4 linked regions of the Arabidopsis thaliana genome follow. The protein of the gene in region 3 interacts with the protein of the main gene of each other region in a pairwise test. Each region holds a gene or a part of one and is shown on either strand. Other genes may lie near its edges. The genes, in order: AT1G08230, SUT4, PUP3 and RK3.

Region 1 (5,504 bases), 7.3 Mb from region 3:
CGAAATTGATAATTTCTCAGAATTTCCTACCTTATAAAAATCGAGGAAAGAACGGGTGGTTGATCGAAGAGCTGGCATTTGAGAAGGGAGAGAGTCATGATTCTCGTATCGAGTGAGGGAGAAGAGTCCTTGATGATGCTTGTTGAGAGCAGAGACTGATCTATGCTTCAGGATTCGATTCAACGTCGTCGCCATTTTAGTAGAGCTTAAACCCTATTTGTTTGGTTATGTCTCTCTGCCGGCGAACCAAACACGCTTGAAATTGAAAACGAGTCTAAAATCCTGAACCAGATTTTTGTGTGGGTAACCAATCAAACCGATTTTTTAAATCCGGTTTAATTATAGCCCCCAACTTTTGGGCTTCCGTTTCTAGGAATTGTTTTGCGTTGGGTTTCAAATGCTCATATTCCAGGCCTGTACTGTGATTTATCAATTTTCTAGATATTTATTTCATCTGTATTTATTTCATTCAAAATTAATTAATTTAAATTATGTAAAAATATTGTTATCAAAATTTGAATATTATTTTCCAAATTTATAATCATAAACATTTTTCTAAGAAAAAAAAAGGCTTATTCTTAAATATAGAAATAACAATCTCACTTTGCTTTGCATGTTCTTTTATACATCCGCAAACAACTTATACGTATTGGCATCTATTATAATCTGTCTAACCGCCGCTACCATAGCAATCACCCCTAAACACGAAAAAACCACGGCGATCACAGTGTTGATCCAAAAAATGAAACTTTTTTTAGACGGCTTGAAAGTAAAGTTGAAGAAAACTACAGGAAGAACGAAGTCTAGAGGTATAAAACCGAAAGCGCCTAACAAGGAGTTTACATCTCCAAAAAATGGAAGCATTGCCGCAACGATTGTAGCCATCACGACGAAGAGGGAACGCACAACTAGTCGAGGGATGACATTGCGGATAGAGAATTCTTTCTTTGTTGGATCGCTGATCACACTTTCCAAAATATCGTTTATAGGTTGTAGGTATACCTGCATAACTCAAAATTAGTAACAATGTATATATGTGACGAAAATAAAATAAAATAATAACAATGTATATATGTGAAAGAAAAACGTTAAAAAAAAATTGTATTTACCACAGCAACGGCCGAAAGTTGAAGGACAGTGAAGAGATTGACGAGAAAAATAAACCAAGTAGGGACAAAGTAATGGTTTGTCTCGGCATTTAAGAAATTGGTGAAGATAAGTCCATTGGCTTTTTTACCGAATGCCCAATATCCTGTGATGGCTACTGTGAAAAATGTCATTATTACTACAAGGTAACACATACACAACCCTTTCATCATTTTTCCTTTCACTGGTGCCGATATTGTTGCCTGCGTTGCAAGAAGATAGTATTCATATATCAAATACTCTATATATATAACTGAGTCGATCATGTGACTGCCCTTTTGTTTTTGATGAATAAATATTAAAGTGGTGTTCTAAACAAAGAATGGAAACAAAATGAAACCTGAATTTCAGGTATAATGCCATTGCCGTATGTAGTAGCAATAATAGCCATAGCATTAAAGATTCCAAACACTCTAGTTTCTGGATCACCAACTATAGTATAGTCCTTCTCTGGTGCATTTGGTTCTTTTCCTGATATTTAACAGAAAACTCACCTTTTAAATGTAACAATATAAAAGGTTTAAGAATTAAGAGTAAAGTGGTTTAGTAAAGAAGAGTACCAATGTAGATGGATGCAGCAGCGGCAGAAGCACTGTAGAGGAGGCAGAGGAGGAGAGACAGTGAGTTGATGTATCGTAGAGAGTGAAAGGATGGGAATTGTGCCAAAACCAAAAGTAAGCATCCAAAAATAATCACAAACTCAAAGAGTTTCATTTCCCCATTTGGCTGCACTACCAAGTACATTGCCTTTAGGCATTGCCCTCCCAAGAGCGCATTGGCAATAACCACACCATAGCACACCGCCATTTGTATTGGTCCAACGTAGTACCTTCCCCATTTCGGACCTTATCAAACACACCCCAATAATTGTTAAGAGGAAAACCAAACTGATCTTAACTAATCAAACATTCGGAACCTGTATTATACTTTACCTTATCCTAATTAAAGTTGTATACAGTCCCGAAAAAGTGGGCTAAATCGAATTCCTATAAATCCTTCAGATTAGCGGTGTACTCTAATGAAAACTAAAATCCAAATCGATGATTCGATGCATAATGGATTTAGTTTCATATTAGCTACTAAAACAGAATTATCCAGTAAGATAAAAAATTTCAATCAATTTTTTCTCATCATTTTGTAGTTTTTGCATAGATAAATACGTTAAATTTTGTCTTAAAAGTTTTGTTGACATGTGGATTTCCTTGGTAGTCGACAGTCAAAGCGTAACTATCCTAATTTGGATCGAATCCTATGTAGGATCTGAAATTTAGAATATTCTACTTTTGAAAGCAGATCGAACCTATCCAACTTTACTTATATAAGATTAAATTTTGGTCGGCACCAACGTTTTATGAATACTCTTCTGACACGCACATATTTTTAAAAATTGAAATTAGTTTTGAAAGACAAATTTCTGCATCAAAAATGAAACAAGACACGGAAAGAGACAGCTATCTAACGCATGAAAAAGTTGAAACTTAACAGTGGTATGAGTGGAAATGTGGAATGGTCAACACTTCGATCCGGATCCCAACAAAATTGAACCGAAGCAAGCCATATCAAAAAATTCACTATAATATGAATTCCATATGATTAGTTTTTTTTCTTCTTATAATTCGAAACAAGACCAAACAGTATAGAAAAGTATTTTTTTAAAAATCATAGGTTTACACAATACATATATTGTGATATTAACCAACCACGAACAAAAGTTGAGCTCATACCAATGTTTACTTGGTTTCTTATAAAATTCCGTTGTTCGTAATAGCAAACGTGATTATAAGTATTCCATCTCGCGTTTTCACACAAAAATTAACTTTTTTTTTTGTTCAAACAAATTATTACGTAGGACATGTACCTTCCTTTATTGCGTGGATGAAATTATTGGAGTGGTACCGGCCGTGTGTCAATTATTACGTATAGAAGTTCATATAGACACGTATGTCTACGTACAACTATACATCTCAATCTTGAATGAAATTCTCTTAAGGTAAATTTGTCGCAGCTTTGATTATAGGAAAGAGCAAATGTAAAAAGAAAAAGAATTACTGAGGATGTGATGAGCCATGTCACGGAAGCGGAGGTAACGGTTGCCGAGAGAAGCGTGGTGTTCGAGAGTAAGAGAAAGAAGAGTGTACGAGTAGAAAGTAACGGCTGCTCCTCCGACCAGACAAGATATCCCGGCAGCCCATCCTAAGAACTTGAAGGCGTACGGTAGACTCAGTAGCGCAGGCGCCACTATAGACGTCGTCAAGTGGAATCCGCAGTGCCACCATGTCCCTAGTTTCCATCATCATCATCATCATATCTTCTTCAAATGGGTTATAATAGTATACGTTAAGTTTCATAGATTTCATAATTAATAAAACGTACCTTTGGATTTAAGGACGAAGAGAGAACCAGCATCAACTACTTCTTCCCCTCTTTTTTCTCCATCTCCTGATCTCTCTTCTCCACCCATCTCTTTATCGCTCTCTTTGTTTCTCTTTCTCTCTCTCTCCCCCCACTAGGTGCTACTCACTTTTATAAGTCCAAAAAACACACTTGCTATCATATCATCTTTTACCTAAAAGCATTTCGTAATAATATTAAACATTGCAGATTTATAGTTTATCGATTCTCTTCTGTGTCAAACGATTTATGAAGTTATAAAATGTGTATATCTTGATTATTTTCTTTAAAAAATATATGATAGAATATGAAAATAAATGGAGAATTCAAAATATTTTGGAAACAAATCTCTTAAATCTTATTTTTTATATATAATTTCAAAATAATCGATTTTGGAGACAATCTTAAATTTTCAATACATCCAACAAACAGTAATAGAAAAAGCAAATTGGATAATAGTAATAACATATCAATATAACATGTTAATATGTATATTAAATCCTTATTACAGTTTTACATTTTCATTATAACTGACAGAATTTTTAAAATTGAAAGAAATTTCTTTCGGTTAATAATAATAATACTAGATTTTCACCCGCGATATACCGTAGGGACAATTTATATTTTAAAATTAGTATATATAAAAGTTTGTAATTTGTAACAATCTATGTAACTATCTATAAAATATTTTTATTTTATAGTTTAGAATTGTTATTAAGTAACGTCCTGCCAAACTCGTCCTGCCAAACTCGTCCTGCCAAACTCGTCCTGCCAAACTCGTCCCGCCAACCCATCCCGTAAAAAAAGCTCATTTATTTTATTAATGTTGATCTTCTTTATCATATGTTTATGAATCATTGTCTAAATATTTTGTAATTTTGTAGTAATTAAATGTTATCAAATATCTCTGCGGTTTGATGATTATAATTGAATTGTAATAGTCATGAAGAAAAACAATATCAATAATGATAATTTTGTAGTAATTAAATGATATTAAATATTTTGAAAGTTTTATTTTAGTAACCAATCGTGTAGTTAATGTAAAGAGATTTTAAAAAAATTTATTAAATGTCAAATATTTAATTCGAAGATTTTTTTTCTAATTATCAAAAACAAATATTAAAATCCAGTGGCAATCATTGTAAATAATTCTCAACTACAAGATTTATTTCACAAAATAGTTGCAAAAATGTATATATAGACTAGATTTTAACCCGCGGTACACCGCGGAGATAATTTTTTTTATTTAAACTAGTATATATAAAATTTTGCAAATTATCTCTATCTATAAAATATTTTTATTTTATAGTTTACAATTGTTATTAAGTAACGTCCTTCCAAACCCGTTCTGCCAAACCCGTCCTGTAAAAAAAAACCGCGGTACCCCGCTAGTTGAAATTTATAATTAAAATAAATATTTTATGGATTGCGATTGTGTTTTAGTTTGTCAAACAAAATTTTGTTTTAAATAGTTGTCGAAATCTAGTTCAAATTTTGGAGAAATAAGATTTAGTGAATTGATAAGAAATGTATTTAGTTGCGTTTGCTCATTTTAAGGGATTGCAATTGTCTTTTGGGTTGTCAAACATTTTTTGTTTTAAATAGTTGCTGAAATCTAGTTCAAATTTTGGAAAAATCTGCGTGATATATGGGATTGAAATATATTTGGAATGTTTTTCGTTTGTTAATCAATTTATTGCTGAAAAAACTAATAATTAAAAGCCAGTGACAGCCATTGTAAATAAGTTTCAACTCCAGGATTTATTTCACAAAATGGATGCAAAAATATATATATAGATTATATCTATATATATGTATTTTAAAATCTTTCTCACTTTAACCTCAACATCCAAAGTTTATATGTATATATAGTTTATTTGCTCGATATGCAAAAGCGTCTGTAGTCCAACGGTTAGGATAATTGCCTTCCAAGCAATAGACCCGGGTTCGACTCCCGGCAGACGCAT
Region 2 (5,675 bases), 6.6 Mb from region 3:
TGTCAGGGTCGCATCTCGATATTATGGAATGACCTAAAATAACATCTGAAGAGGAAACCGACACATGTTGGTAAAATAAGAAGGCACACGTCATGTAAAGAAGATGACATATGTCAGGAAAGGAACATGTCCTTACAAAATAGAAACCAAATAAACCAACAGTTCATAAATGCTCCAGTTATGCCGCGAGCCATCTTTTCTTCTTTACTAAGAAAATTTCTACATTATTTTAAGATTTTTCTTTTCCATGTAGTTGTCTCATACTTCCTTCGAAAAGATCTTTCTCTAACTTCAACCTTGGGGATCGAGCAACCATATTTCAATCAACAGATTCTTTCATCACTCTAATAACGGACAAAAAAAGAAAAGATGTCAAAAAAAAAAAAATTGGAATATGCACGTTGATACTATAAGTTCATTTAAATCAGTCGTTAGAGTAAACCTTATTGAGAGTTCAAATTCATTTAAAAACCTGATGAGATAATTATATAATTTCTTATAAGATTTTTTTTTCTTGTAAGAATTTAACGAATAGAATTTTTCTCTCTATTACTTAAAATTCCTCCTCGTCAAAAATTGCAAATGCTTGGCAGTTTTACCATTTTCTCAGAACTACCGTATGAGAAATAAAGTACGTATTAAAAAACAATACAAGCTTTAAAGATAAAAGAGGCAACAAATTTTTTTGACAAAAAAATTAGATGAAAAGAAGTGACGACAAATAACTGAGAAAACACGTTTTGCAAAACTAAAAAAAAAAAAAAAAAGAGAGAGTTGGAAAATGTTTGGAGCTGGTGGGCATTAGTTGGCTATGCAACGCACGGACGCGGATACTTTTCAACTCGTTGCTTACGCGGCCACGTTTTCGTCACAAACCGTGTTTCTTTTGCGGCCTTTTAAGTTTTAATCAAACATTTTTGTTTTCATTTGAATCTTTTTTTTAAGGCGGTTATACGAATAAAATCATTAAAAGGAGAAACGGGCCTTCATGTTTAGGTTTTTGTTCTTCCTCATTTGGGTTATTTAGCTTATTGGTTCAGCCCACAAGAGTTTCCTTCAATGGATAGGGCCTTCAGTTGCATGCCATCATCCTTTCTTGTTTCTCTATAAGCCATTTTTGCAATGAGAATTTCTCAATTTCTTATTTTTGCAATAAAATCATTTTGCCTTAGATGATGGTGGAATCATCCGTTTTTCTTTATTTTGACCCGGTGAGTAATTGAACGCAAAAAATAGTCCAATTATTCAAAACCTTACAATTTCATATCGCCATAATAAACCTAAACATGATTCGAGTGAGCAACTACATAAAAAGGGGAACGAAATGTTGGTACAAAACTGAATTCCAACCCAATCAAGTGCATACTAAACTATTGAGCAAAAACAAAGATAAAAATCAGTTCACCTACCCTAATTAAAACATGATTAGGCCTAAAAGACTATAAGTAAAGATAAAAAAGATGCCATTTTAGAGTACGTTTTGGTAAATTGGCGCCATCGTGTTATACGTTTAAACCGTATAACCTGAATCATGCAGCACGTGTACGGCTCACATTGGCCCAAGCTTGATTAACAAACAATAACGTCATTTTCGTATTTCAACAATTTTGATCGCTCAATCCTTTCGACCTAATTTCCATATTAAGTAATTTATTAGTTAAAACAACGGACTCAACCAAATTACATATTAAGAGAATATTTGAAAATTGTCTATGTAGATGAACATGTATTTGAAAATTGCGTAAGCACACTCTTTCTCTCTCTCTTTTTTTTTTTTTTTTTTCCCCCTCTTCTTTCTTTGAATAAAGATGACATTTTTTTCTGTTCCAAACACAAAACTGCATATTGATAGTGTTATTGAATACTCAACGTCTCTTCTTCCAGCTTACGTAAGTGGAACTTACTTTTTGCCCCGTGATCCAACAGAAAATGACGAATGCTCCCTCAAAATCATTTCGTTTCAACAAAAATATGTATTTTATCCATAGAGAAACAACAAACCTTACACTATATACCCTCTTTTAACGTGCCCACTTTTCATTATTTACACAATTTCCCCAACAAATTTAAAACAATTTACAAAAAGCACTCAACTTTCCTAAAGTAGATTCCTTTAGTCCAATGGAATTCTTACAACATCTTCTTCTTCGCCACCTTTTTCTCTCCACTTTAAGCTTTTTCACTCTCTCTACGCCACGACGACTGTGAAGCGAGAAATGGCTACTTCCGATCAAGATCGCCGTCACAGAGTCACTCGCAACCGTCCACCAATAGCTCGACCCTCTACTTCTTCATCTCGTCCCGTTGTATCTCCTCCTAGATCAAAAGTTTCGAAGCGTGTGCTTCTCCGTGTAGCTTCCGTCGCATGCGGGATTCAATTCGGATGGGCTCTTCAGCTTTCTCTCCTCACACCTTACGTTCAAGAGCTGGGGATCCCACACGCTTGGGCTAGTGTGATTTGGCTTTGCGGTCCTCTCTCTGGTTTGTTCGTGCAACCGCTCGTTGGGCATAGTAGCGATAGGTGTACTAGTAAGTACGGTCGTCGGAGACCGTTTATTGTCGCCGGAGCTGTGGCGATTTCTATCTCTGTTATGGTTATTGGTCATGCGGCGGATATTGGATGGGCATTTGGGGATAGAGAAGGGAAGATTAAGCCGAGGGCGATTGTTGCTTTTGTTTTAGGGTTTTGGATTCTTGATGTTGCTAATAATATGACTCAAGGTCCTTGTAGAGCTCTCCTTGCTGATCTTACTGGTAAAGTTCCTGACTTTAGTGTTGATTGGGTCTTCAATTTGAAATCATTCAAATGTAGTAAATTTGGGATTCTCGTGATTATACACTCACATGCAAAACATGAAAATGCATAAATTTGTGATTTTGGATACAATTTGGGGTTATATAATTACCTAATTGGTTCCTAACAATCAAAAGGTCCCTTCTTTGTTTCTGGTCGGTGGCTTATCGTTGAGTCACAGAGACTTTGTTTTTTCTCTTTCCCTTGAATCAAATTGTGGATTTTGGTGAAGTTAATCGTAGCCTACGATTGTGTGATAACCTCATGGAGTGAAAACAAAGATATGTTGTGTTTTAATTCTTGTCCTATTGCTTTATTTTCAGAGAATGATAATCGCAGAACCCGAGTTGCAAATGGCTACTTCTCTCTCTTTATGGCTGTTGGCAATGTTCTTGGCTATGCTACTGGATCATACAATGGTTGGTACAAGATCTTCACTTTTACGAAGACAGTTGCATGTAATGTGGAATGTGCCAATCTCAAGTCTGCCTTCTACATAGATGTTGTCTTTATTGCAATAACTACGATCCTAAGCGTCTCAGCGGCTCATGAGGTGCCACTTGCTTCATTGGCTTCTGAAGCACATGGGCAAACCAGTGGAACAGACGAAGCTTTTCTTTCTGAGATATTTGGAACTTTCAGATATTTTCCAGGAAATGTTTGGATAATCTTGCTTGTTACAGCATTGACATGGATTGGTTGGTTTCCATTTATTCTGTTTGATACTGATTGGATGGGTCGAGAGATCTATGGCGGTGAACCGAACATAGGGACTTCATATAGTGCTGGGGTCAGTATGGGTGCACTTGGTTTGATGTTGAATTCTGTTTTTCTTGGAATCACTTCTGTGCTCATGGAGAAACTTTGCAGAAAGTGGGGGGCTGGTTTTGTTTGGGGAATATCAAATATCTTAATGGCTATTTGCTTTCTTGGAATGATAATCACCTCATTTGTTGCGTCTCACCTTGGCTACATTGGCCATGAACAACCTCCTGCCAGCATCGTGTTTGCTGCTGTGTTAATCTTTACAATTCTGGGCATTCCATTGGCGGTAAGTTTACTCCTGTAATTCTGCTGTCATGTTACTTACACTATTACTTATGATATTTTGCCTGCTCATCTGTAACAACATGATGAAATTTATTTACGCTTTCGCTGTAACTAATGCTATTGCTACTCTTCTGCAGATAACTTACAGCGTCCCATATGCGTTGATTTCCATACGTATTGAATCCCTGGGCTTAGGTCAAGGTGTGCAGGCTTATCTTTGGGTGTTGTTTCTTATAAAAGTTCTGTTGTGTTGTTTCTTAGAAAAGTTCTGCTCAATGATTTTACTCTACATATGAGTGTTGTTTCTTATAAAAGTTCTGTTGTGGCAGGCTTATCTTTGGGTGTGCTAAATTTGGCGATAGTCATCCCACAGGTACACTTCTTTCAACCATCCTTTTAGCATTATATTTGCCGCAACTCAAAATCATATTCTTCTTTGAATGTTTCTGCCTGTAAAAGGAAGTCTATAAGCATAACATGCAGCAGAGTTACTGCATTATTTGTCAATTGTCATTAATAAACGATTCGTTTTTTTAGTTATGGTCATTGGCCAGTGATGAAAGTACACTTTTTATTTCTCTATATTAGTTGATTGATGAATTTCTTCCCTATGTTGGTTATGGTTTTTGGCATCAAACTCAAATTCTGTTGTTCAATCATTTATGTGTTTGCAGGTAATTGTGTCTGTTGGCAGTGGCCCATGGGATCAACTGTTTGGAGGTGGGAATTCACCGGCACTTGCAGTAGGAGCAGCTACAGGCTTCATTGGCGGAATTGTAGCTATCTTGGCTCTTCCACGGACAAGGATTCAGAAGCCCATCCCTCTCCCATGAGATTCTCTCTTTTGTTATATAAGGTAATAATGTCACAATTCTTTCACAAAAAGTACATAGTAAGCACTTAAGTTGTCACTGATTATTAAAAGCGGCTAATGCGAAATAGATGAGTGTCAAGCGAGGAACGCATAAGGGGAGTGCTTGGAAATGGCAAGGAGATGGAACACTTAATGTGATCCTTGTCGAAAATTCGTGCAATGGCTTCTCGTGTGACTAACTTATTTGCAGCTACTAGGACTTAATCCCCTCTACTTTGGGGACTATGATCCTTGTATACACGAGGCACCATAGAACCAATGAAAATAATACATCATTCAGTTTGTGAGGTATATGCATCTCTCCTTTATTGGAAGTTCCAGTTCGGGATCTTCTCTGTTTTTTTTGTTGTTGTTGTAAATTAATGTAAAAACCTGTGTACAACAGAGTGTTTGTAAGGGCCCCTGAGTTCTGTAACTGTTTATAAAGTTCATTTTCTTTAGAATTAGTTTGATAAAGAAAACCTGAGATCCAAAAAATTTACATGATCTGTGTAGCAAAAGTAGAAAGGAACCATTACGAGTACTAGTAGTCTCTATAGTAGCAGTAACCACCAATAGTCAGCAATAGATTAGGATGACTCTTGGGAATATTAAGACCATCTCCAATGGTTAAGAAGTAATTGGTTCTTAACCAAACATCTTAACAATTATTTATACTAAAATTTTGAAACATGACATGTAACTGTTTTTTTCACTCATGAAAACTTCTTAGCTAAGAAGCAAATCTTAGTTTTTAATTTATTTTGATTTAATTTTCAAAGTTTAATTCTAAAATATTATTCTAAGATACACCTAAGATAAACCATTGGAAGTGCTCTAAGCCTAGTAGGAAGGAATAGTAGCAAATCCCAGTTTTCTTCTTGAGTGAGATGTTTGAGATTGAAATTACTGTAATGCTATTGAGATTCTGTAGGCAGCGTATCAATAATTGAGAGAAATAAGTAGATGCTAATACAG
Region 3 (3,556 bases):
AAGGTTTTATGTAATACTAGGTAATCACCCGCGCTACGCTGCGGTATTTTCAGATTTTTTGTATCGTATAATTTAAATATAATTTTTAATTATCTAATCATTTACTTATGTAATAAGTAATTATTCTTAGTATTAAAATATATTTTTTCTAACAACATTCTCAACAATGCATTATACACACAATTCCTAAACAATGTTCATCTTAAACTAATTAAATAGAGGGTAATACTGGAATTCTCGAAACCTAAGAATTTGATGATTAAATTTCTTACATACTCTTCACCCTCGGCGATTTATTATATAGATATATAACAATATGCAAACTATTCAAACTATTAACTAATCCATGACTACTATACACTCATAATTTGAGTTAAGATTACAGAAAAAAATCTTCTGAGTATGAGAAAACCAATAAAATTATTTTATTGAACAACATGTAATAACAAAATAAATTTAGTATTAGTACAATTAAATATGTAAAATTAAATAATAAATACATCATTAATCTATAAATTAAAAGTTGAAAGCTTACATTAATTATTATGTGGACACATGGCACATGTTAAAGTGATGATGTGTCAATCATATGGAGAGAGTTGGCCAACTTTCATATATATGATTTGTCTTCCTTATCTTTTATTAGAAACATTATTTAAAAATTGTTCAAACCTTTATCCTGTATTTCCATATCTATTTAAAATTATGATTAAACTTGAGAATCAACTAAAATCATCATCATACATGTTTTGTAGGTGATAGCAAGAGAAGCAAGAGAGTTCAAGATTGGAGGATCAGTGTTTTACTATGCATTGATAGTGATCACAGGAATAATATGGCAAGGTTTCTTCTTAGGAGCCATAGGGATTGTGTTTTGTGCATCATCACTAGCTTCTGGTGTTCTGATAAGTGTTCTGCTTCCGGTGACTGAAGTTTTCGCCGTCGTTTGTTTCCGGGAGAAGTTTCAGGCAGAGAAAGGTGTCTCTCTACTTCTTTCTCTTTGGGGATTTGTCTCTTACTTCTACGGCGAGTTTAAATCCGGCAAGAAAGTTGTTGATAAACCTCAACCGCCGGAGACAGAACTGCCTATTCTTCCTGTTAGTGATTATGTTGCTTAATTTCTATAACTCTATAGGATTATAACAGAGCATTACTGTTATGTTTTGTTCCTAATATTATGTGTGATTGTGTGTTTTGTTATTGTTCTTGTGTATAAGTATGAATAAATTTGAAAGATATTGAGCTATTTGATAAATGCAAATTTTAATACACTTGTAGTAGAAATAGAATGATAATGATAAGTAAAAGATAGGATATTTCGTATTTGATAAAATCACATCCTATTTATCGATTTTATAAAATAAACATTTCACACTTTTAATTTAAGATTAATATAATTTATCTATTTAATATAAAAATTTGTATATAAATCAAAGAACTAATATAGAAAGAAGAAGAGAAAACAAAAGAGATAGAGTCAAAGAACCAATTAACCATCCTTAAAATCTTCTAATTATAGAGAGAATTATGAACTGAAAATCTTAATGTCATTGCACTAAATTTAGAAAGAAATAAATCCAATAATCAAAACTGTAGAATTTGATGGAAACGTAAATTAATATGAGAGATATGATATTATCTGGTCTATAAGATAATTACTACGTTTTTTATACGAAATTAAACAGTTAGCAAAATTTATGGGTATAAAATAGGAAAAGTCATGTTTTAGCCATTGAAGCCTCGTTAGGTAAAAAGAAACACAAAGATCTATCACGACAGAATCTAAAACCGGACCAAATTTGTTCCAAAACACAGCAACACCAAACCTTATAACTAACTCCTTCGACCACCAACCTTCATTATCCACAAGAAATCAGACAAGAATGGTGAAGGCTCTTGTGATCATAAACTGCATAATTCTAGCCATAGGAAACTGTGGAGGTCCTTTGATTATGCGTCTCTACTTCAACAATGGCGGTAAAAGGATTTGGTTCTCTACGTTTCTTGAAACTGCAGGCTTTCCTGTTATCTTCATTCCTCTGCTCTTCTCTTACATTACCCGGCGCAGAAGCAACAATGTGGGTGATAGTACAAGTTTCTTTCTTATCAAACCGCGTCTTCTTATCGCCGCTGTTATTGTAGGCATTCTCTCAGGGTTTGATAACTACTTGTATGCATATGGTATAGCTTATCTTCCAGTTTCTACAGCTGCTCTTATCATTGCTTCACAGTTAGCTTTTATAGCTATCTTCTCATTCTTCATGGTTAAACATAAGTTCACTCCTTTTACCATCAATGCTGTTGTGTTGTTGACTGTTGGTGCTGCGGTTTTGGGAATGCATACCGAAACTGATAAGCCAGTTCATGAGACTCACAAGCAGTACATAACTGGTTTCTTGATTACTGTAGCAGCAGCTGTTATGTATGCTTTCATCTTGCCATTAGTGGAACTTGCTTACCAGAAAGCTAAGCAAACCATGAGCTATACCCTTGTGCTCGAGTTCCAGTTGATTTTGTGTCTCCTTGCTTCTATTGTCAGCGTCATCGGTATGTTCATCGCTGGTGATTTCAAGGTTAGTCACTCTTTTGAATCTGAAAACATACAAAAGAGTTTTTAACAGAGACTTGAGCCCTTTACTGTTTTTGCAGGCCTTACCAAAAGAAGCAAGAGAGTTCAAGCTTGGAGAGGCATTGTTCTATGTGGTGGCTGTGTTTTCAGCCATCATATGGCAAGGCTTCTTCTTGGGAGCCATTGGATTAATCTTCTCCACATCGTCTCTCGTCTCGGGTATTATGATATCAGTGCTTTTGCCAATTACAGAGGTTTTAGCTGTTATATTCTACCATGAAAAGTTTCAAGCTGAGAAGGGACTTTCTCTTGCTCTCTCCCTTTGGGGCTTTGTCTCTTACTTTTATGGTGAGATAAAGTCTGGCGAGGATAAAAGGAGAATTCAGCAGGAGGAGAGTCAGGAGACAGAACAATCTTCTTTGTCAAGACCCATAAGTGAGTGTTAAAACTCAACGAAGCATGGCTTTTCGTTTAAAGACATCATAGCACTCATTTCTCCGCCAAGTAGATTAGAAGATATGTTTGAGAAACTTGTGGGATTATGCCGAAAACACAATCTTAAAGGACTTTTTTTTTTCTTTTCTTTATTTCAGCTTAACTTGTTTGATGTCTCTTATTATTCACATCAAATGAGTTTGTAATAGAATTATGAGGTCAAACAATGACACTCTCTGTTATGCTGGTGAGCTTTTTGTTCTACCAGCAATAGATGAAATTAGTCTTCATTTGTCTTCTGTTGAATGCTTTTATCTTTCATCTCTCGTGGTGGCTTCATCCCATTAACCTGCTCAACAATAGCGCCAGCAGCACCATTAACGAGAAGTCGCGGATGATCTGAGGACCCGTTAGATTCCACCTGTAAGTTCAACCAGTAGAGAGCTTCTGGTAAAGCCTGTTTGGTTCATATTCATGATTCTTCATTACTATAAGGAACAATCGCTAGTGAGGAAATAACATTCAGTTGAATCAAAATGTAAAGAAAAAGCC
Region 4 (6,545 bases), on a different chromosome or scaffold from region 3:
ACCAAAAAAAATCATCTCTCAAGAAATTAATTATCTATGCTAAATATTCTAAATTTCTAAACTCTCATTTAAAATTTAAATTAGCAAGCATTCATGTCAATATTAATGTGCTCATAAATCACAATTCTGTATATCAACTATCATTATTAAAGGACGAGCTACTCATCAAAGGTTAATTAAGGAATTTTGACAGAACACTTTTGATGCATAAAAATCCTTATGATCTAAAACAATTTTAATCAAGCCTCTCCAAACATTGAAATTGCGAACACTTTTGATGCACAAAAATCCTTATGATCTAAAACAATTTTAATCAAGCCTCTACAAACATTGAAATCACCTTGAAATGAAGGAAAATTTGAAATCACCTTAAAATGAAGGAACCATGAAGGATTTACTCTGTCATCAGTTAAAAACAAAAAATCCACTATACCCCCATGATCTTCCTAAAGCCCATAAATTAAATCCACCGGATTTTGGCCATGGTTAGCGATGGAAATAGGTGTTGCTGATCATAAAAAATTCTTATAACGTATGTACTTATTAAAAAAAAAATCTATTACAACATGTACAAACCTAATCTCAAAACGTACAACCCGAAATTCTACTAACCAACAATATTTGCCTCTTCTAGTAGCCATAATTTATAATATGAAAGTCTGAGAATCTTTCAAAATATCACATTGATGTCCTATAACTGCAGGACTATTTGGGTTATCCATAAAGCAATTACAGAATACATGCTTAATTAAGACAATTGAATCATGTAGTAACCTTTGCAACGGAGACGTACAGAGAAAATACTATGCACATAACTAATACCATCTTTCCTAGTTGATTCTTATTGTCGCTCAATTTAGTCATCTTAGTATAGAAGATTGGCTAGTTGACAGTCACATTACCGAGCATCAAGGACCGAGACAGTAATTTGGTTCACTGTCCATGATTCATCGTCGCGCTGTTTACTCGACGAAGAATCAGTGTCAAGAAGACTTCTCTCCAGGCAATAACCGGGCGCTTTAGGTTGAGGAATAGTTGTTGATTCGCTTCCGAGCATCAAAATTACCAAGGACATAGTTGGTCTGTCCTCTGCACGTTCTTGAACACACAAGAGGCCAATTTGTATGCATCTTAAGATTTCATGTTGCCTGAATGTTGATGAAGAATCTGTGATGATTGGATCTATGATCTCTAGCCCTTTTCCTTCTTTCCAATTCCTCCACACCTGTGTATAATGATCGAAATTTTTCTAGTGTTATCATTATTTTGAGTGTAAAACAAGATCAAGTTTGAGAGGTTTTTAACTTACACAACCGAGAAGGTTAAGGTCACGGTCCGAATTGTAGAATCCTTTGTTCCTCTTGCTACTTATAATCTCAAGAAGCAAGACCCCAAAACTGAAAACATCTGACTTCATCGAGAATATCCCGTCCATTGCATATTCAGGAGACATATAACCGCTGAATAACGAAGATTAGACTCAAAGTTTTGAGTTATTTTTTTTTAATTCAGATTTCAAACAAAGATTTTTAATATTTTGGAGAATGATTGCTTACTAGGTTCCAACCACCTTCCTCGTATTAGCTTCTGTCTCATCCCGTCCAAAGATCCTAGCCATTCCGAAATCCGAGATCTTTGGAGTCATATATTTATCAAGCAAGATGTTACTTGCTTTCAAGTCTCTATGGATAATTCTAAACCGTGAATCTTGGTGAAGATATAGAAGTCCTCGAGCAATACCATTGATGATATCAAATCTCATTTGCCAATTTAGCTTAGAGTTTCGGGATTTGTCTGCTAATGAATCATCACTGGATTGAGTACATTATTTTTAAAGACATTGAAAAATTGTTAGAACAGAGTTGTAAGGAGTTGAGACACTAACCAAATAGATGAGAGTCGAGGCTTAGATTTTCCAAGTACTCGTAAATCAACATCTTCTCACCCGCATCGACGCAACATGCAAGAAGCCTAACAAGGTTTATGTGCTGAAGCCTTGCAATCAACTTTACCTCATTCTTGAACTCATCAGTCCCCTGAACTGATGTCTTTGATAGTCTCTTCACTGCCATTTCTTGACCATCAAGTAACTTTCCCTGTAACCCTTAATTTTGTTACACAACGAAATATTTGTCCAGCGATAGATTATGAATTAAGTTTTCAATCATTTTTACCTTATAAACTATACCAAAACCACCTTGTCCTAGCTTGTTGGCGTTAGAAAAATTGTTTGTGGCCATGGCAACTTCTTCAAACTCCATCAATGGCAATTCGAGATCGTCTGTATTGTTTTCTCTAGATATGTGTCTCCTACTTGATATTACAACTTCGTTCATTAGCAAATCTCGGCTTCTCAGTTGATGATCAACTGTTACATACAGACACCAAAAACAGTAAAGATATTAGTTTTAAGAAATTTACAAACAAAAAGAAAGGAATTAAAATTTACAGATATACCAATAGGTGTTTCGATTAGTATTGATCGCTTCTGCTTCCTTTTCCACAAGAAGAAGATAATGAAACTTAAAAGAAGCAAAACGCTCACTCCAATACTCGAACCTATGATTTTTGCACTTCTGTTTCTTTTGTCCTCTGAAATAATGAAAAGAGATGTCAAATTGAGCACAACATTTAGGACCTCGACCATGGAAATGAATATCATTTTATAAAACAAACTAGTATTAGTCTTATGATTTAACAAAATAATAAACATTGTCGTACTTTTGATTAAAGATAAACGCCAACAAACAAAAAACAGCGTTATACTGTTATCGCCAATAAAAACAAAACATAAAGATTGGTCTACCTAAAAATAATTTCTTTTGGCTTTGGATCTACCTTACCATATTATTCTTGAGATTGATAAGTTTTTGTGAAGAATATAGTAGTAATCAAAAGTTTCACTCATGCGTTGCATCTTTTAAGAAGATTAAAAGTCCATTGGACCTTAGTTCTTTATCACAAGAGTTTTCACATATAATGCCAAGACCGAATGCGTCAACATCTCAATCAAGTTTAAGAAGTTTGAAAAGAGGGAAAATAAAACTGAAAAACGTTTTGTTAAATTCCAAATTCGTTAACCAACAACAATATAACATTGACTTGCACTATTCAACACCATTCTCACATTCTACCCCAAAAAAAAAGTGCTTTATCTAACAACCAAGTTAATTACTATTCTTGAAACCCTTAAAAAACGTTTCTTCCTTTTGTCGTTTAAGAAAATCTTTAGTATAATGTGATAGGATTACTCAATAACTTGATTGGGCAGTTTTAGCATCAATTTTTAGTCTTACTGACAAAATCTTTTATGATGTCTTTTTAGTTTCTAGTATGTATAAAACTGTTTACATGTTTTGAAAAGTGATCTTGAAGACTATTATCAACCGTTACTTAGCAAAAGTAAATATGTGGAAAATGAAAACCAAACATATGTCATTTAGTCTAATAGAGATAGTGGAGAATGAACTAACCGAGATCAGTAGCAGCCAATCTAACGTAAAGATCTTGACCACCTTTGGCATAATTCCTGATATCAAAAAGCTCTCCGGTCCAAGTCACACAACCCGACCCGCTACCCCGGATATCCGTATTCGCAAACGCCGTGCAATTACAATCTCTTAAACACTTCTGTTCACATTCTTTCACACCAATTCCTCTGTCCACACTAGCCGTGGTAGTATCCGGCAATTTCATTTTCTTCAACCGCACAAACCCATCTCCGCCACCACAGCTCAGTAGCGTCTTCCTCACGCAACCATCCGACCCGTCTCTCAATCCCCACACTTGAGGATTCCTCGGCTTAAACCCTTTAATACAATTACAAACAGGTGAAGTGTTCGAGTCGCAATAACCGTAAACACCACACTCTTTGTACTCATCACATTGGTCTTTTGGTGCGTACCAGAATTGGTTCCAATTCTGTGCTGTCTCAATCCAAGTGAATCTTTGTAACAATCCTGAGGAGCTTATGCTTAATCTCGAGTAAACGTCGCTTTTAGTGATTCTAAATGAGTAAGTCACTTCTTCTTTACTCGTAGTGAAATTGAAAACCATGTATTCAAATGGTTGCATCTCCGGTACACCACTAAACCGGATTCCATTCCATGGACCACTCCGGTACATTCGTGATTCTCTGTTCCATAGAAAAATCTCAGGGAAGCCTTCGGTTTCGAGTTTGAACGAGAAATCTCCACTTGATGGATCATCTGGAGATTTCCATGATCTAATGAATCTGTTGAACCCGGTTTTGGCATCCCAGCCAAGTTTCATCTCCGGAAGTAAAGTATCTGTCGGAAAATCAAAACTCTGCCACAAAACTCCATCTGGAGCGCTGTTCTTGGAGTCTCTGAGCACAAAATTACCATTATCAAGAAGCTCTGCCACCAATGGAGATCTCACATCTCCTCCGGTCAGATTCGTCGACCAAACCGGTGTATCGGACTGATCCAAAACGACAAGATTACTGTCGGAGATTTTGAGAGTTCCGATGGAACTAGAGAGAGGAGTGTCTCTGTTTGCAACCCATACGTAGGTTCTCTTAGAGATTGCCTTGTACCAAATTCCAAGATACCAACGAGAATCTAAACCGGGTTTGAAGAAACCAAGCTCGAAGACATTACCAGGAGACACAATGGTGTTATTGCTTGAGATAGTTAGAGATTCTGAAGCCGACAAAGTGTTGGCAGAGATAGAGTAAGCAGGGAACAGAATTAAGAGGAAGAAGAAGAAGAAGGTGTAAGAATGGTAGAAATTTGGTAAACCTCTCATTTCTCTAAACCAAGTTTTTTGTTTTTCACTCTTTCTTGAGAAAAGTATGAGAGTTTATTTCCATTGGAGATATCGGACATGTTTTGTGTAATGTGTGAACCTTACGTAACCGATTTTATTTCTGTCAATAATATATTACCTTGCTTTTTTTCTTTTCTTGGTCTTCTTGTTCGCATTTGGAAAAAATATCTAGTTATGTACTATGTGTACAGTCCAATTCATAGTTGACCTAGCAAATAAAAAGTCTTCTTCTTCTTTTTTTTTGTCAGGCTTTCTTTCCTTTTCCAATAGTCATTTTTACTTCATAAATTCAGAATTTTTCTTCAAAATATGATATTATTGATGACCATTTTTTTTAATAAATTACTTAATATATTGCTTTTTCGTATTTTATTATCAGTCAACCTTTTGTATGCATGCTTCGAGAGTTATATAAATTTCAGTGTTCTTTTTCGTAATAAATAACTCAATTTTTTTTTTATCCTTCCCAATAAGAACTTCAATGTTAGTATTCATCAAACAAACCCTACTTTAATTTATTTCCGCATTCTCCGAAGACAAAAAAGAAAGGGGTCGTTTCACGTTTTCCTGACTTTTTCTTTTTTTCTCTAACTCTAAATAATTCATCATTCCATTCAATTTAATAATGAGTCTACATTTGAATTATTCATCACCAAATATAATGTTGTCCTATGCATTTTGTTTGACGATTTTTGGCTTTGGAGCTTGGAGGAGAGGAAAATTTATGTTAACACGGTTTTAGGTATATTATATAAGTATGAAATACGAAGACCGAATACTCTTTTCACCATCAAAACAGTACTAATTACCATAGTCAACGCTCCAAAAGTCTTATTTTTGAACATCCTCATAATTCTTCGTTCCTCGTTTGATTTATATATAATAACTCTATACATAAAAATCAATCACATTTTAATTAAATTAAACACAATAATCCTACAATATTTGAAACAACTCACCTATATTTAATAGAATGAAAAACAATTATTATGATCCTCATTTCAAAACTAACCTAAATATTTTAAGACTACCACCTTTGTTATAGTATAAACGATTTATTTGAAGATTTATTTCAGATAAATGCTTTTTGATATTTTATCTGTTTTCATTTGTTTATACTTGTAAATTGATCCATTGTGATATTTTTGAAAAAGAATAGTGTGGTGATTTTTTCAAAATATCAACATCATACTGTAATAAAACCCCATTTGTAATGTTTCACTTTATGAACAAAATTTCAAGTTTCAACAACCATTACTCCATTATCCTAATTAACCAAAAAATATTATACGTTTTCACAACAATTATATAAAAAAAAACTTTACAAAAGAACAAACAAAAGAATCTTATCGTCCAAGAACAACCGTTGAAGTGATCTCATTAGAAGAAACGATGTATTGTTGGCTCGAATCAAGAGCAAAGTTGACATCAATGGAGTTTCTTCTGGTGGAAGTAAACGTTGGTTGTCTAGGCGCAGCGAGCGTCGCTGTGTCACTCTCTAACATAAGCAAAACTGAAGCCATGTTGGGTCTCTCCGCAGCCGAATCTTGAACACATAGCATCGCTACGTGTATGCATCTCAAGGCCTCTCGCTTACTGCATGTGACCCTGATCTTAGGATCCACAAGCTCCTCTGATCTCCCATGAGTATACAAATACCAAGCCTGCAAGCATTCAGTTTCCACCACTAATTAGACCATTTATAAACCAAACCAAACCAAAATTTCAAATGCTCATTAAGAGAGAACAACAGT

What was found.
Region 1: the proteins of PUP3 (region 3) and AT1G08230 interact in a protein complementation assay, tested with the Arabidopsis thaliana proteins (one large-scale study listed by BioGRID).
Region 2: the proteins of PUP3 (region 3) and SUT4 interact in a protein complementation assay, tested with the Arabidopsis thaliana proteins (one large-scale study listed by BioGRID).
Region 4: the proteins of PUP3 (region 3) and RK3 interact in a protein complementation assay, tested with the Arabidopsis thaliana proteins (one large-scale study listed by BioGRID).

The regions. Positions count from the first base shown.
Region 1 is NC_003070.9:2,583,094-2,588,597, forward strand, and holds AT1G08230 (Transmembrane amino acid transporter family protein), read right to left. Parts: upstream 3,877-5,504; 5' UTR 3,608-3,876; coding exon 3,520-3,607; exon of another isoform or gene 3,427-3,519; coding exon 3,196-3,426; exon of another isoform or gene 1,992-3,195; coding exon 1,707-1,991; intron 1,618-1,706; coding exon 1,487-1,617; intron 1,350-1,486; coding exon 1,110-1,349; intron 1,003-1,109; coding exon 622-1,002; 3' UTR 551-621; downstream 1-550. Other genes in the region: AT1G08220 (ATPase complex subunit), read right to left, coding at 31-195. UniProt on the Arabidopsis thaliana protein: High affinity gamma-aminobutyric acid (GABA) transporter probably involved in GABA uptake into cells.
Region 2 is NC_003070.9:3,242,042-3,247,716, forward strand, and holds SUT4 (sucrose transporter 4), read left to right. Parts: upstream 1-1,944; 5' UTR 1,945-2,216; coding exon 2,217-2,754; intron 2,755-3,117; coding exon 3,118-3,845; intron 3,846-3,981; coding exon 3,982-4,045; intron 4,046-4,173; coding exon 4,174-4,217; intron 4,218-4,518; coding exon 4,519-4,677; 3' UTR 4,678-4,700; intron 4,701-4,786; 3' UTR 4,787-5,175; downstream 5,176-5,675. UniProt on the Arabidopsis thaliana protein: Responsible for the transport of sucrose into the cell, with the concomitant uptake of protons (symport system). Can also transport maltose at a lesser rate. May also transport biotin.
Region 3 is NC_003070.9:9,859,762-9,863,317, reverse strand, and holds PUP3 (purine permease 3), read left to right. Parts: upstream 1-1,749; 5' UTR 1,750-1,883; coding exon 1,884-2,573; intron 2,574-2,649; coding exon 2,650-3,015; 3' UTR 3,016-3,027; downstream 3,028-3,556. Other genes in the region: PUP1 (purine permease 1), read left to right, coding at 756-1,118; ATJ1 (DNAJ heat shock family protein), read right to left, coding at 3,341-3,425. UniProt on the Arabidopsis thaliana protein: May be involved in transport of purine derivatives during pollen germination and tube elongation.
Region 4 is NC_003075.7:11,388,321-11,394,865, forward strand, and holds RK3 (receptor kinase 3), read right to left. Parts: upstream 4,907-6,545; 5' UTR 4,771-4,906; coding exon 3,474-4,770; intron 2,593-3,473; coding exon 2,458-2,592; intron 2,369-2,457; coding exon 2,175-2,368; intron 2,097-2,174; coding exon 1,886-2,096; coding exon of another isoform or gene 1,881-1,885; exon of another isoform or gene 1,795-1,880; coding exon 1,557-1,794; intron 1,461-1,556; coding exon 1,310-1,460; intron 1,226-1,309; coding exon 899-1,225; 3' UTR 507-898; downstream 1-506. Other genes in the region: B120 (S-locus lectin protein kinase family protein), read right to left, coding at 6,138-6,455. UniProt on the Arabidopsis thaliana protein: Involved in the regulation of cellular expansion and differentiation.